Linked DNA regions of Struthio camelus. The protein of the gene in region 1 purifies or fractionates together with the protein of each later gene. This does not show direct contact. Links are inferred from orthologs where the notes say so. Each region holds a gene or a part of one and is shown in the gene's direction. Other genes may lie near its edges.

What was found. The genes of interacting proteins can lie anywhere in the genome.
Region 2: the proteins of IKBKB (region 1) and PRKCQ purify together in Homo sapiens (affinity purification with western blotting; 4 studies listed by BioGRID). This does not show direct contact. The link is inferred for Struthio camelus from reciprocal best matches to the Homo sapiens genes IKBKB and PRKCQ.

The regions. Positions count from the first base shown.
Region 1 is NC_090968.1:7,907,322-7,915,071, forward strand, and holds the start of IKBKB (inhibitor of nuclear factor kappa-B kinase subunit beta), read left to right. Parts: upstream 1-4,448; 5' UTR 4,449-4,533; coding exon 4,534-4,638; intron 4,639-4,738; coding exon 4,739-4,833; intron 4,834-5,571; coding exon 5,572-5,689; intron 5,690-6,428; coding exon 6,429-6,498; intron 6,499-7,750.
Region 2 is NC_090942.1:4,823,790-4,831,983, reverse strand, and holds the start of PRKCQ (protein kinase C theta type), read left to right. Parts: upstream 1-5,096; 5' UTR 5,097-5,217; intron 5,218-5,372; exon of another isoform or gene 5,373-5,477; intron 5,478-5,534; exon of another isoform or gene 5,535-5,691; intron 5,692-8,136; exon of another isoform or gene 8,137-8,194. UniProt on the Homo sapiens protein: Calcium-independent, phospholipid- and diacylglycerol (DAG)-dependent serine/threonine-protein kinase that mediates non-redundant functions in T-cell receptor (TCR) signaling, including T-cells activation, proliferation, differentiation and survival, by mediating activation of multiple transcription factors such as NF-kappa-B, JUN, NFATC1 and NFATC2.

The DNA.
Region 1 (7,750 bases):
GATGCCAACAAAGTGGTGGTTGGGGACAGGATTCAAAAAGTTATTTTATTTCCTGGCTTTTCACAGCTCGTGTTTAAGGACACTTCCTGTAAAAAGATTTTTCTGCAGCTGACTAGAGAGCGTGGTATAAGTGTCATTTGTAGTGCTTAACATACTTTAGGAAAGCCAGCAGTAAGCGTCTCCTGCTTCAACATAACAGCCACCATCTCCTGGCTTACCTCTAAGCTGCTCCTCTCTCAGGACAGGGTTTCTGCAGGCTACCGTGTTAGTGATGAAGTGTGGAGCCTAGTCTGTCAGGATGTTGTCTGGGCGCTCTTCATCAAGAATGCAACTGTTCAAATGCTTTGTGGATCCTCTACATTCAGTTCCATACCAGCTGCAAACTCCAGGGCATGTAGGAGGTCTGGAGGGGACTCGGGACAACTTTGGTTCAGGCTGTACGTTGCCTAACTATAACTACCATAACATCTTTACTAAATACATATCAAACCTGGAAATTGGAAGGTTGGGGTCGGGTCTATTTAACAACATTAAAAGATGCTAAGTTGAGAACTTTAATCTCTAGAGAAAAGTTTAATCTGCTATGCCTTTTTCCGGTAGTGTGCATAGCTCTTGGTGAAGGGCTCAGGTGATCTCTGGAGATGCTGAGAGCACTGGAATTCATGTTTTGGGGGGGGGGGGGGGTGCCTTTTGGGGGGGAGTTGTTTTTTGTTTTTCTTCACAGACAGTATTACTTCACATGTATATGTGCTATCCTCATCACAGTAAAGACTGCATCAACAGTTTCATCTCTCTGTGACAGACCAATGTTGAGGTTGCTTCCCTTTGCATGGTTGTCCATACTAATAATTAGGATTAGATTGATATTTTAAAAACAAGTAATTGTCACCTATGGTAGACAGCTAAATACCTTTAAAAATCAGTTTTAAGTGTCCAAATGCAGACAGTCCTAAATCCAACTTGTTACTTGTCTTACGTAGAAGACCTATAAACTGTTCCAGCTTTATTTTTATTATTAAGTGGTAGAGAGTACATTCAGAGGTGCCCAGACTGGATGTAAATCTAATTGTGCTTCTTCGAATATCCCATTATAAACGTGTACGTCAGCATATCAAACCAAGCATAACACGGTCCTGCTCCAAAGAGCTGCCTGTCGCCCTCCGCTCTCTCTAGAGAGGAAGGTGCATGCTCACTGCTGAAGCAACTGTGTGTCAGAGACTGCACCCTCCTGAAGAAGGGTGCTGCTCTTAGCCATATCTTTCTGCATTAGCTTTGTATCTTAAATGATATTTATGAAACCGTTCGGTGTAGAAATCTGTGTCCCAGGATAATGATATGTGATGGATGAGTGAGACATTGAAACTAGGGTAGCAGGAGATAGGTATCTGCATGAGTGGCAGATAGGTATCTGACAAGACGGACTCTAGAGTGTTAGGTTCTCTCATGCGTATAGCTCTCAGTGAATTGCAATACTGCTTATTGCTAAATGCGTTAAACAATAGTATTATGGGGTTGGATGTTTTCTTTGGAGCTGGGCTTTTCGGGGTTGTTGGAGTGTGTGTGTGTGTGTGTGTTTGCAGCATGCAGAGTTTGGGCACAAGGCAGTAAAGAGAGCAGCGCTCCAGGCAGCTTAAGTTCAAGAGCCCCCTCTGTTGCACGTTTGCTGGAACCTCTCTACCAATGTAGATATAAAATGAAGCCATTTTCTGGTTTCATGGGGGAAAGTTCACTGTCTGCTAAGGTGAAAGAAGTATGTTGTGGTATGAATAAAGTATTTGCACAGATCACTGCTTTATAGTCACTGTACCTCTGCCTTATACAAAATCCTCTTAGGGATTATTCTCAGCGTTACTTGAAGTACGTGCAAAAAGCTACTCAGATTCTGCCGTTGTTCTGCTTGTGACTAGGTCTGAATGTTTTGATGCACAGAAGTAATTTGATGAAGTGTTCTAGCAGTAAGGAGGATAGACTTTTTTGAAAATGGATGCTACTGGCAGGGACGCCAGTTGCCTGCATTCTCTAGAGATGGACTTTTGGTAACAAAACCTCAATAACCATGTCAGAAGTCTGTGCGTCCCCCTTCTGGCAATCCTTTGCTGCCATAGCTGTGGAGGATTTCTGGCACTCTCTTTGGGCAGCAGCTTTCCTGAGCAATCAGGATACGGAATGTGCTTTTGTCCTGGAAGGTATGTGTTGAGCAGCTGATCTTGACTGTCTTCTTTCAGTGCAGTGACTGCCAAACCTCCGTCTCCTCTCGTAGGATGTATTGATGCATTTCTGTCCTGATAAGTAAGTTCAGTCTAATGCCAGAAGCCAAGTTTATTGTGGTCACTTCACTCTGCACCTTCTCTGAGCTCTGTTATTTGAATAACAGTACTGTTTCACCCTGTGCTGTCTTCTCCACCTAGGCTGGCCTCACTCTGATTAGTTACTAAGTCTTAGTTTTATAAATAAGTTTATAAATAAGCTTTATAAATATGTTGCTGAAAATGATTATCAGCAACAGCTCCTTATTCTCACATGGGTACTTGGTACTAGGTGAAGAGACTCTGTGCTTAACCAAGGACTTCCTGTCAGGCCACTAACTGACACAGGAAGAGCATTGTTTTTTTTTTTCCTGAAGAGTTATGAGGCTGTAACAGGCTTTCTCTATGCCTTTCCTGAGTGGCAATCATCTAGTTTGAACAGGAATTAGATGGGCAACTGGGAGACTGGTCATAGCTGTTCTGTAAAGACTTAATAGTCCAGGCATCAGTATCCTGATCTGACAGCTCTGCTTCTGAATGTGTGAGCAAAATTCTGCTGTAGAAGCCTGGGTTAAGAGGAGGGTTGTAACCAGATCCGTAACTATTAAGGACACAGTGTGTCGTTGTCTTCCCATCCCATGTACGCTGTGCTCTGATTCAGATCTACCTGTTTATCAGCAATTAGTAGCTTTTGTACCCAAGAAGAGCCTGAAAAATTGTTTAGAAAATGGGCTGCAGGCCATGTGCATAGTGGAGGCAAGATTCTTTGGAATCCTTAGTACAAAATGACCACACCTGAAAGAACAGTTGAAAAATTTGTCGAGTTTATGCCATTTAGCATAATGGCAAAGACTAGGGATTTGCTTGCATTGCAGTCTAAAAGTGGTATTGCAGCTCTTCACAAAACTAGTTCATAAGCATAAATAGTTTAGGTGTACTGATAGTGCCTCATGACGTGTTGGATTGCGAATCCCCTCTAGATCCTTAGCTAAGTATTCTGGCAGCCTAGCAGGACTCTGAATATTCTTTGCTTTCATCCAGTTTCATCCAGCTAAATACTCATAGCTCAGACCTGTCATCTTCAGCTGGCGTTACACCCTCAGAATGTAATCCAGAGATGGTTGATCAAGCAGTTTGTATTCTTCAGAATGCCTAAGCTCATCCAAACGTTTATAGTGAAGAAAGCTCTTTGTGTAACTGAGAAACAACGAACTGTTAATCCTTTTTCAAAGGAACAGCAATACAGAATAGGGCAGACTTTGGCATCGGATGCTCCCATACCGTTCCATCTTTGGTCTGCCTTCACTTTTACTTTCCCCCCTCCCTCTCAAAGAGGCTTAGCGCGCAGGAGCAGTTGTTCCTCCTGGGCAGCAGTTGCATTCCTTTTCCGTCAGACTGGCAGTTCCTTCCCCAACAGGCTCGCTCTTACTGTGCCCAGAACTCAGAGTAGTTAGCTCCTTCGAGGTAAGCACAGACCACTTAATCTTTTCTGGCTACAGTACAGGTGTCTCTTTGGAATTGCAGTTAGCTAAGAGAGGCCTCCAAGACTGGAAGCAATGGAGGAAGAAGTGCCGTGTGATGTGTTTGTTTAGCAGAAGCTGGCAACAGAACAGAGGTTATTGACAAGAGATAGGATAAACTTTTGTACAAACACATTGAGTGGATTCAGCTGTCTAGCTGTGCCATGCTTGTGGTCTGCTGTTGGCCTACATTCCCTCCCCCAATGGCACAGCTGTGCTTGGTGGCCCTGGCAGCCTGCAGTGGATGTGACTGCCTGTGCTGCATGTCGAGCTGCATGCTTCCCTCCCTGTGCCACCATGCATGAGTTTGCAGTGGCATTAAAGCACCTAACTTCACCCAACCCATAGCAAGTCGTCAGGAGAAAGCAATACCTAAAAATGATGTAATGCGCAGAATGGTACTTTGATTTGGGGTGGTGGGGGCTGAGATAAAATGTACATTTCAGTACCTTTAGCAGATTTTAATGAAGTTGTGGGAAGGAGACAGCTGCTCTGTCACTTTAGGTAATTAAATAGCCCATGAGCTCTACTCCCCCTTTCCCCGAGTCCTCGACTTCAGACAGACGAGCAGACGCCACCGACCTCCGGGGGAACGAGGGGGCTCGCGGCGCCCCCCGGCGGCTCGCGGCGCCCCGCGCGGCTGCAGCGCGCCCGGCCCGCGGCCCCTTTCGGGGCGGGCGGCCGCACCACGTGCCCCTGGCGCCGGAAGCGGACGCAGCCGCGGCCCAGGCCCTGCGGAGCCGGAGCCGGAGCGCCGCGGCCCCGCCATGAGCCGGCCGCCGGCCCTGCAGGCGCAGACCTGCGGCCCCTGGGAGATGAAGGAGCGCCTCGGCACCGGCGGCTTCGGCAACGTCATCCGCTGGCACAACAAGGTAGGCGGCGGCGGCGGCGGCGGGCCCCCTCGCCCGGCCCGGCCCGGCCCGGCCCGGCCCGGCCCGGCCGCGCTCAGCCGAGCCCGCGCTGTGTCCGCAGGAGACCGGCGAGCAGCTGGCCATCAAGCAGTGCCGGCAGGAGCTGAGCCCGCGCAACCGCGACCGCTGGGCGCTGGAGATACAGATCATGAAGAGGTGAGGGCGAGGCCGGCCGCTCCGCCGCCGAGCCGGGGCGCGGCCTGCGCGCGGCCTGCCGCTCCCGGCGGCGCTGAGGTGAACGGCGGGAGAGGCAGGCGGTACCCGCTGCCCGGCCCCGGAGCGAGCCTACCCCTCCACGGAGGCCAGCGCCTAGGAGCCGGGGGCGCGCCCAAGAAAACCTTGCGTTGTGTTTTCTCTCAGCTTCTGCGTCTCGAGGTTTAAAGGCTTCGTTCTCCAGAGGTTGTGCTGCTGTCTCTAGTGTTATAACAGTTCTGCAGCGTGGCTGCTCTTTGGCCTGACTTAATGTTTCTGTTGGGTTCTCTTTCAAGACGCTGGATTACTTGTGTGGGATGCAGTAGCCTGAAAGTAGGTAGGATCTTTTTTGAAGGATGCTAACAGGCTGCGTTAGACTCCTCCCTCGGAGCTACAGGAAAAGGCCTTGCCGAGATCCGTTGTGCCTGTTCACTGGAGGAATGCACTGACCACGCACTGAGGCTATGCGCGCTCGCTGTGCCCTGAATGCAAAGAGTTGAGATGAGTCTCTAGGTCTGTGAAGGATGAGTGAACTGCAGGCCTCGAGAATGCACTGGTTCGGTTTCTAAAAGGATTAACGTCCCTGTAGGGCTTAGAGTGACACGTGCACATGAAGCTGTGGAGCTCTTGTAGAATGATCAGCTTTCAGGTTTCTGCCGTGGCTGAGGTGATATGTATATGTGCCTCGTTTCCACTCCCTAGGCTGAACCATCCCAATGTAGTGGCTGCCCGTGATGTCCCTGAAGGGATGCAGAAGCTTGCACCAAATGACTTGCCACTGTTGGCCATGGAGTATTGCCAAGGTGGAGACCTCCGCAAGGTGAGGTCACTGGGATGGAGATGGTGACTAAGGGGCCTCAGCAGGATGAGACCTGGGGTTTGTCTTCAGAAAAGTTTAGTTCAGAGTATAAAAGCTCTGTTTTTGTCCCCTGCTGCTTCCAAATTCATGTCACGGTAGCTACAACGTTTGGTGGGTTGGTTCTCGGAAAAGTTCCGTTTCTAAAAACTTAAATATTTTCTGAAACTTTCTATGTTTGTCTGGCCACAAGTGATAGGTTGTGGAATTTGCATGTAGAGGATGAGGGTGTGTGAGAGGGATGTACGACAGGCTGTGAGCATGGCCAAGAGCATCATAGGGCAGATCTGTGGGCGTTATCCTTCCCGGAACTGATAAACCTCTATCTGTCATAGGAAAAAATAATTTGTGGCCATTCTGATCTTGGTGTTTTTTTAACCTTTGCTATAACTTGCCCGTAGATAAAGCCCAGAGTGTACAGCTGAGATTAGAGCTGATAATGCAAGGCACAGGGGAAATGGCTATGAAGGGTGGAGATGGTAGAAGGAAGAGGATGGAGGTGATACTGATTTATTCTAGCCACCCTTTCTCCTCTCCAGGATAGACCAAGGTCTTAAGCTCTAACTATTGCTACCAGAGGTCCCAGTCCCATTTCCTTGCTGTCACTGGAGCTTCTTACATTCTTGAGAGCTTATGGGATGTAGACCCTCGCTTAGGACACAAGAGGGAAAGATTACCTATGTTCTGTGCTGCTCTCTTGCAGTACCTGAATCAGCTGGAAAATTGCTGTGGCTTGCGGGAAGAAGCTATTCTCATCTTGTTGTCTGATATTGGTAAGTGTTATTAGTATCTTCAGTTGTCCCAACTGTGGAAGCCCTTTACTGCTGAATCCACTTGAAGGCTATGTGACAGTGACCTTAATGGCTCCATCTTAGGCCCTTGAGTGGTATACTTGCTTCCGGTCTTGTTCTGCCTGTCCTCTCCAAGAAAGCTAACCTCTGATTTTTCCGTTCTTGAAATTCCAGTGTTGAGATGGATTTTCTTTCCCAGCAAAAATGCTACTCAGGATTTCCTGGAAGGTTCTGGATAGCTGAACACTTGCCAAGTGACTCCAGTTTATATTGCACATCATCTCTCCACCCTCAGTTTATTAGCTCATCAACAGGACTGCAGAGTGTGTGTGATCAGTTGTTTTCCATTAGCATTTGGGCCACCAATATGTGGAATTTGAGACAGTTCTGATGTTTGCAGTGTGATGCAAAGATTAGAGAAAGCTGTCTAGAGACTTTCAGGCTGGTGATTGTTGTTCTTTGTTGTTTTAGCAAGCTATGTTGTTGTCGGGGGCTATTGTTATGTGGGTCACAGCTGAGGTGAAGCAGGTGGACGGGTGCTAAGGCTTTAAAGAGAAGAGATTCAAAAAGTGGTTTTGGGGCATGTTGATCCTTAGAAAGCGAGCTTGTGGCAAGAGGAGGAACACGTGTTCATTAGTACTCCTACTGCTAGGCAGAATCTCCTGTCCTTTATGTTCCCAGAGCATTTGTACTCTGCTGTCTGCATTCTTTTACCCCCTTCCTGACCAGGAAAAGATACTTAGAACTGACCGGAGACAGTGGTAGGTTACGTTTAGAGCGCAGTTTGTGTTTATGTGCTTGTGTGTATATGGCAAGAGGGACGGTTCTGAATCTCCAGTTGTGCGATCCGAACCACAACCAAGCAGAACCATTTTCAACTATTGATATAACTTGTTCTTCGGATCACTTACAATCCCTGCTTAGCTGGTCTTCCTAGGGTTACTGTCCTTCAGGAGAAGGCTATATTGTTGATAACTCCTGAAAGTCCAGCCAGATCATTCCACTCTGAATAGCTGCATCTGGGAACGCAACACTGTCAGAAGGGACATGAAGTCCCAAAGAGCAGAGAGTGAGTCCTTCTGGCTCAGGCTCGAATCAGCCCTGAAAAGCACAAACTGTAGAAACGCTACCAGGTTTTGTCTTCCTAAAACCCTCCTTTTTACCCACAAAATGGGAGATATGTTAAGGTATTATCTTGACCAAGTGTGAGAAATACAGGGCTTTTATTCTGCTT
Region 2 (8,194 bases), on another chromosome or scaffold:
ATTGTTTTTTCTGACAAACAGAAAGAAAAGTAGGAAAACTGGGACTCTCTCTTGCACTGGGAGAGTGCAAAGTGCAAAGGCAGTACAAAAAATATTTCATGGATTTCTGGGAGGAGGGTTCAAACTGTGTCAAGTGCAAGATCTCTATACGAAACCCATAAGCCCTGGCCAGTTGTGCGGCAGGAACCCATTGGCTTGAAGGCTATGCGCATGCCTCCAGGGACACCTCCACAGCAACACCTCCACAGCATCATATGCATCTTCTACCTCTGATGCTCATTTCATGTTTCAGTTATGCTACAGTTTACACAGCTTACACAAGTTTATATAGCTTGGTATATATATTATATATATCTTGGTATAGATATCAGCTATGGGAGGACATCATGGAGCTAGCTGTCAGCAGCAAGGCTCAAAATCCGGACTTCCAGGCCTAAAACAAAAGCACCTCTCATCTTCAATACAAAAAGCCCTGTATCGTTAGCACAGTGGCAGCAGAAGATTGACCAGCCTCCTAGTAATCTTGTCCTTAGAGTGCTCTCTAGAGGAGTGCAAATTTCTGTGTTGAATGCTAGTGCAGGTTATAAAGATAAATGTGAATACGCTTGAAATCCTGCTCAGCTCTAGACCTCCATTACTCCCCAGGACAGTGAGTTCTGCTAATCCAGACTGAATTTAACCTAAAGCTCTTTTAACTAGGAAGACAGTAAATACAGAGGATACATAAATACATTTACAAAAAGAGCCCAATGTGATTGCAAAGACGATTACTGTTCTTTTTGCTTCAAATTTCCCCATTAAATTAATTAAAAAGACATAAAGCAGCTAAGTGTGGCAGAAAACGTGCACCAATAGCCCAACAACCCCAGAACCTGGTAGCTTGTATCCAAGAGCGGTGAACAGCAAACACCCAGGGAAAGACAAAAAATCAGGACGTGTTCGGGGTATTGGCGTTCAATGATCTCCATTTTGGGGAGACTCTTCACCAGCGATGGTATCTTTATGCTGAAACACGTGAACGAGTATCGCTCTAGTACAAGCAATGGGGACACTATTCTCTGCGAGAAGAGAGCGGCTTCTGTTCACAAATGACCTGGTATTTTTTCTAGCAGCCTCAAAGCACCACACCTCTCCTGCAGCTCTCCTGCTTGCTGGACCATGCAGTTCCACATCACGAATCTCTTAGTTACTGAGCTGGGTGGAAAGGTTTCATTCAACCCATTCCATCCACCACAACCCACCTCCTCCCCACCACCGCTGAGCCCACTCAGCTCTTCACATGGCCATGTCCTACAAAAATGATCCCAGCTACAGGCAAGGGGCAGCCCTTCTTTTTTTTCAGTTTTGGTTTACTTGTTTTTCTTAAATTCAGACCGTTTTGCTGCTCTGATTTAGAGCGCGATGACATGAGAGGCTGAGTCAGCAAAGCAAGGAAGATGCAACCTCGGGTGAGGAGACAGGACAAGCCCAGGAGGGAGGTGGAACGTGGGAATGAGCAGATGAAGGCAGGAATTGGCTCTGCCTCTGTGGGCCTGTGCCCTGAATTGCATGGTTAAGCATCTGTTTAAATCGATTATTTCAAACGTCATCATCTCATGGCTACTGACATACTGCAGGATCAAGCCCCAGATAACCGAATGGAGACTGAGAAAAAGCTTCACAAAATCACTGCTGAGCAAACTTTACGAGCTTGGGACTATGATTTGTGCCGTATGTTCGGGTGGTCATACGGGTGGCAGGAGACGAACAACTCTTGGGTAGCGCTGCAGCAACTCCAGTAATAATATTCCTCTTTCCAGTTGGAAAGAAATAATAAAGATCTCTAGTTTAGTGCAGGTTCAAGCCAGTAAAAGCAAACGGTACCCTGTAGATTCTCCCATAGTTACGCACCCTTTCTGGCGAAGCGTCTGAGAAACGTGCATCGTCAGAGAGTGTTTTGCAAGTTTGATTTGCTCACTGCATTTCCTGTCCTCTTCTCAGGAGGCCAGGGAGCTCCCGAGCTGCATCCGTATAACAGCGGGGTGGACAGACATCTGACAGGACCAGCCTGGGGCGCGTCGGACCTGCCTCCTAGGAGAACGAATGCGGTGACCTCTCAGGTTCTTTCCCAGCCTATTTCTTATGACTGCTAGAAGAGATCGAAACGTAAACGTCGCCCTAACATGCAGCACACACTTAGTTGAGCAGAAGTGGAAACCTTCAGGGAGAAAAAGAAAAAAAAAGCCCAATTCTAGTGTTATTTTAAGACTGGAAATGGCCTAGCCTGCTATATTTCCTTCTTTTTTTTTTTTTCAAGTGCTTGAACTCAATACCTCATTAACTGAGTTTGAATGAATTTAAAGTAAAGAGGAATTTCTGACCATCCTTCACAGCTGTTATTAAATGTGTCCCCTGGTTATTTTTTCCTTGGTATCTTCTATAAATTAACAAAGAACTTGTAAGTAATCATCCTTAAAAACCAAACAGCAGTGGCAAATATTTTGAGAATGAAACCATTCAAAAAGGCCCATTGCCTGGGCAAAATGCTCAATCAGTTTAATTTTTTTTTTTTTTTTTTTTTACTGAAAATGTGGGTGGTTTTCAAATACAGGAAAGAAAACACGATGGCTTGTGGTGATATTTTCCACCAGAAAGATGCAGCTTTAAGGGCTTTTGGTTTCCAAATACCTACACCCACAGGAGTGGCCTCGTCTGTTGTAGAAGGCAATGCCTGATTAGTCGTACAAGTCAAATTAAATGACAATAATAATACACAGCAGTTGATGCATGTTTCAGTGGAAGCTCTGTGTCAGCTGGGTAATTAATATGGCAGCTGCCTCCCAGACTACGGCGCTGTCATTTTTAAAAACGCAAAAAGCTGCTGCGAAAAGAGAAGGGAAAAATCTGTTCTTCATTTCCCTGGTGGATAGGATGAGAAGAAGGAGGCTTAAATAACAGCAAGGAAGGTTTCGATTACACATAAAGGAAACGCTTTCCAGCAGCTCTGGAACGAGCTGCCTGGGGCAGGCGTGGAGTCTCCATTGCTTGCTTGGAGGGACAAGTTGAGCAAACGCCCCCTTAGAAAGGGTTTGTGTTGATTCTTTCTTGGGGCAGGGAGATGGATGAGGTGACCTACCGAGGCACCTTTCCAGCTTTGCGATCTTGTCATTACTCAGAAAAATTGCTTTGCCAGGAGAGGTCGCAAGCTGAAGCCTTCTTCTGCCCTGAGTTTAGAGCTAGGTGGCCTAAAGCACTGTTCTGTGATAGCCAGAACTTAACCCTGAGCCTAACCATTTGCAGGCCTGCAAAATCTCCTATAAACAGAGTGATCCTCATGTAACTAGCTGCTCTGTCCCCAACTAGGGATCTGGTGCATTTATGGGTGCAACACCAAAGGGGTCCAGGAACAGGCAGAAGACCACGGGGCTGCATCACAGTTGGGAATGTGCCGCTGCAATGCCCCAGGCTGGCACGCATCCGGTCTAAGTGCAGGCTGACACTACAGTCTTCTTCCCACCACGTTACTGTATCACACAACTAAAAAGAAAGTTCAGAGATTTTTGTTTCAAAACACCCAGCTTGGGTCTGCAGAGGTCTGCTACCTCTCCCACTCCTAGCCCACTGATGTCTCCATCACCTCAAGTTCCCTTTAGGGTCACTTTTTGAGCAAGTGGAAGTGCCTCCTGCCCTTCCTTTTCTGCAGATGCCTGTAGGAGCGGGAAGCTGATCTGCCGGCTCTGCCTTCCCAGCTGCTTCTGAAGGCAAGGGCGTATCTGCAATACCAGGACACTCCTGAAAATTGTAGTAACAGCACCAGCAACTGATGGAGCTGCAAACTTAAGAAGGGGCAGTTTTGTCAGCAATTTTCCTTAAAGATTCAGGCAAATTCCAGGGTTACATGGGATTTTAATTATCTGCTGCTCACCTTCAGTTGATGTTGAAGAACCTTTTATGCCTGCAGTATCAACACCCCCCCCCCAATATAATGCACTCTAATGCAGGCAGGAAGGATAGATACATAATTTAATGGCATATCAGCAATTAAAATGAAAGATCACCTTCCTCATGAAATGCCTTTTTTTTCCTGCTGATAACAAGGATATATATTATACGTTGCTCAGAGTGTTCCAGCAAATAGAAGGGAACTGCTCTTTGAAAGCAATACATTTTCCCCAAATTTCCAAAAGCCCAGCAGTCCTTCCTTTTCACTTTCCTTCCCTTCCTCTTCCCTTCCCTTTTGATAATTGGGTAGTTGATGTTTTAGGAATCAGCAGCAAGGGCAAAACAATCACATCTTGCCTTTCTACAACAGCATTCAAATAAACATTCCAGCTTACTCAAAGTGAGCACTTAGAGCTCCGAAAATTCCTAAATGATTAATTTTGAAGATTTCAAAAAAAAAAAGTATCTTTTTTTTTACAGGTCTGCATGGCGGCATGCAGACCTGCATCTTTAATGGTAAGAATTATCCCCAGCAAAGCAACAAAGTGGCACAATCTACATCCCAGATCCTTTCTCCATTGACTTTTTAGGGAACAAGCATCTGAGATACTTTGACAGTTGCCTAAGAGTGTTAGGATCCACAGAAAGTACCTGAATGTGGCCCCACGTCTTCTATAGGTATGTCTTTCCTGCTGTCAGAAGCATGACGGACATCTGCAGGTCTCCGGGATATGTATCCCATTTGACAGCTATCGACAGCATAGCCCATTATTGTTACAGGGTTGGTCATGTGGCCATGCTTCTGCAGCACATCCTTCCTGATGGCCAGGAGGAGTCCTGTTGGACTGCTCCAAAACCCTTCAGCTCCTACATTTCTGGAGTTTCTTTTCCTTCTAATCACTCATCTTCCAGGTTCCCAGGCCAGTTTTCCCCTCTAGACTTGCCTGTCCTCCCGGCATTACACCTAATCTTGCAGCATGGGAGGAGGCCATGGGAATGGTGGAGCAGAGAGCGTGTCCTTGGGGAGGTCCTGGGCAAAACCCACTTTTGACACCCTCAAGCCCTGAAAGGGGTGTACCAAGCAGCTCAGCCTGGCCTTGTTTCAGATTAAAAACCTAGTTCAAGGCAGGGCCCACCTGGAAGAGAGATGTTTTGAAGACTCGATGGCCAAGCACATGACATGATGGGACAGATTAATGAGGAAAGACACAGCCCACTTGACTTCCCCTCCACACCCCTCAGCAGACCTCGCTAGCTAGCCACAAGGACAAGGCTCTGCAGCCCCAGCAAACTCAGGTTGTCCTTATTATTATTATTATTATTATTATTATTATTATTATTATTATTAGTGATCATTTCTTTTGTACCACGGCTTTCTCCTCCGCAAAATGGGGTTGTGCACACCCAGCCCCGACGCTGGGCTCCTTGCGAGGCTGCACCACGGTACTTACCCGGCCGCCAGCACTTCCCACCCAGGGATCGGGCCCTTGGGATGCCCCGGGTAGGGGGCGGGAGCGGAGGGGGCCCAGCGGGGCGCCGGTCCAGGTGGCGCGGAGGAAGAGGAGGAGGAGGAGAAGGAGGAGAAGGAGGAGGAAGAGGCGGCGAGGGCAGCCCCGGGGGTGGCAGGCGGCGGGGCGGGGGCGGCTGCGACCGGCAGCGCTGCAAAGGAGCCGAGCCGGACTCAGCCGAGCCGAGCCGAGCTGACGGGGGCTGAGCTGGGTTGCGCCCAGGCGAGCTGCGCTGAGCTGAGCTGAACCGAGCCGAGCCGAGGTGAGCCGCGCTGAACCGGGCTGAGCAGAGCCGCGCTGGGCTGCACCGAGCCGCGCTGGGCTGCACCGAGCCGAGCGGGCAGCAGGTGCCGCCGGCGGTGCGGAGCGGAGCGGTGCGGAGCGGTGCGGTGGGTGCGCGACCGGGCCGGACCGGACCAGCTGTCCCACTGCGGAGGTGTCGGGGGTGAGACCCTTGGGTGCACGAAGGCGATGTGCTGTGCGTACACCCTGGGCAGGGAAGAGGGAGGCAGCCTCGGGGTGCCTAACGTCCTGGGTGCCCAGAAACCACCTCTCCACCACCCAGCAGCTTGGCTGAAGGCACAAGGAGAGAGAGAGAAAAAATTTGGGGAACTCTTTGGGATTGTCGATGTCTCATTTTACCCGGGACGCTGCTATTTTACCCTGCTTCAGCTATCGTTTCTCATTCTGTTACTGAACTGAAGAGCCATCATCAACTTGAAATACAGCCAGAAGGTTTTTTTGGTTGTTTTTTTTTTTTTTCTTAAATAACAGTTTATATTACTTTCAGGTTCATACACCTGATGTCTTTTGCAAGTGTTTGTGGTTTCATAATCACATTTTCCTGCCTCTAAAAAGTGTTGTTTTCTCCCTTGTGTCTTCATGCAATACAAAGAGGGGAAAATGACTGAGAAAAACAGTGAAAACCTACTACAGCCAGAATGTTATTGAACACACACAGTAAATAAATTGGAAAAAAAAAGAGGGAAATACTTTCCCCTGCTAGTTTCTTTGATGTATTTTAGGTGTTTCTTGGTTACAGCAGTATGCAGTAAGACAGCCAGGTTGAAGTTTAGTTTTCGGGTGGATGTTGTAGCTCATTAGCTGGGTAAATCATTTTCGGGTCCAATTTGTAATATTTTACAAACTAGCACTGTGATAAGTTTGAAAGCTCATTTGAGTGGTAAAGAGAAATGAATTGTCTCCATCCCTCCTCCGCTGTGTAGTGTTGTGAGCGGCATTTCCTTTTGAAGGAGGAGACTTGAAAACCCAGCCTGGCCGTTCAGCCTTGAGACTTCATTTGTGTTGCGTGCATGTTAAATGCTAATGAAGTTAAACTCTCGGGTGTAATCAGTTCCTTTTTAATGAACTCTTTAAATAGTGATTACAATGCAACCAACTTCTCAGCTGTGTGTTTCTCCAGTCACACAGACTAGTGCAGCTCTTTGCAGGGGCAGAAAGCTCCTCATGTGCTTTTTAATTTCCACCAGTGAAATGGCAGTGGCAAAGAAAATGACTTGAGCAGCTGAAAGCCACTCAATTGAGTCATGCTAATAGCAGATTATTTAGTAAGGTCACTAGGGCAGGAAGAGATAAAGTTTCACTGAACTTGCTATTAAAAAAAAAAAAAGGCGAAGGGGGAGAGAAAAACAGAGCTGTTTGCAATGAGCAGCAGTGCCATATTCTGGTCTTCACTTTTTTGAACAGCCGGTTCCATGGGGTCCTGGACCTATGCTTTGTTTTTTTATTTATTTGCTTGGTTTTTTTGCTCTCTGAAGAAAGGACTCCACATCCCCACTGATGTGCCATTTTCTGGTTTCTGGGGAATGTGCTTTAGGAGCCCAGCCGAAGGATGAGCAAAGAGCACCTGCTCTGAGGAGGTTCCTGCCTCAACTTGTTGTGGTGCAGCAAGGCTCTGTTCAGCTGGTGGTAGCAGATGGCCTCCTGAGATATAGCCTCTTTTTTACAGGCCACAGGCCTGGTGAGCGGCCTTTTGTTGAACACCTGACACCGGTGTTGAACCTGGATCCCAGTGAGGGTAGTTGCCATGGTCTCTTTTGATGGTGCCTAGGCTGGACATGAAACTTCAACATCCAGCAGCCTTCACTCTCCCGGAGCTCCCTGAGTGATGCTAAACCTCTCCATTTCCTCCAGAGTTCCCCCCATGACATTTTGGCTAGCCTTTCTGAGCCCCACTTCTAGATGTCCATTAGGATTTTGTAAAGTCATTTCAAGGATTCACATTCCTCCTGAACCTCCATCTTCCATCTCAGCATCCCCTTTCTACCCAGGCCGTTTTTGTAATCAGGGCAAAAATTTTCTTTCTTTCTTCCCCCTCCCCCCCAAGAAATACACACCAATTTTTCAAAATTACACTCCAAGCCTGCAGTGCCAGATGTCTTTCTGGAGAACTTGCCGATCTTTCTGCTTTAGGACACTGGGGGTTTTGGTGAGGAGGTAGCCATCCTGTTTTCAGGCTAGACGAGGCTTCTCCTATCTGACACCCTTTGCAGCCCATCCTGTTCACAGAGGGACTTGGAGAACTTCTCTGTCCCTCTGAAGCCTGTGAGATACAGTAGAGGAAAGGAACCACACTGCCACCAACACACAGCAGGTTCATAGCAAAGGGAGCTATGAACAAGGACCTATTACACCGCCAGGGTGGAGCTAACTTTTTTTTTTTCTACTTCAAGTGAGCTTCCTTTCAAAGAAAGTCACTCAGTCGACTCTCAGAGCTTCTCACAAATGCACCGGCTGCCTCACTA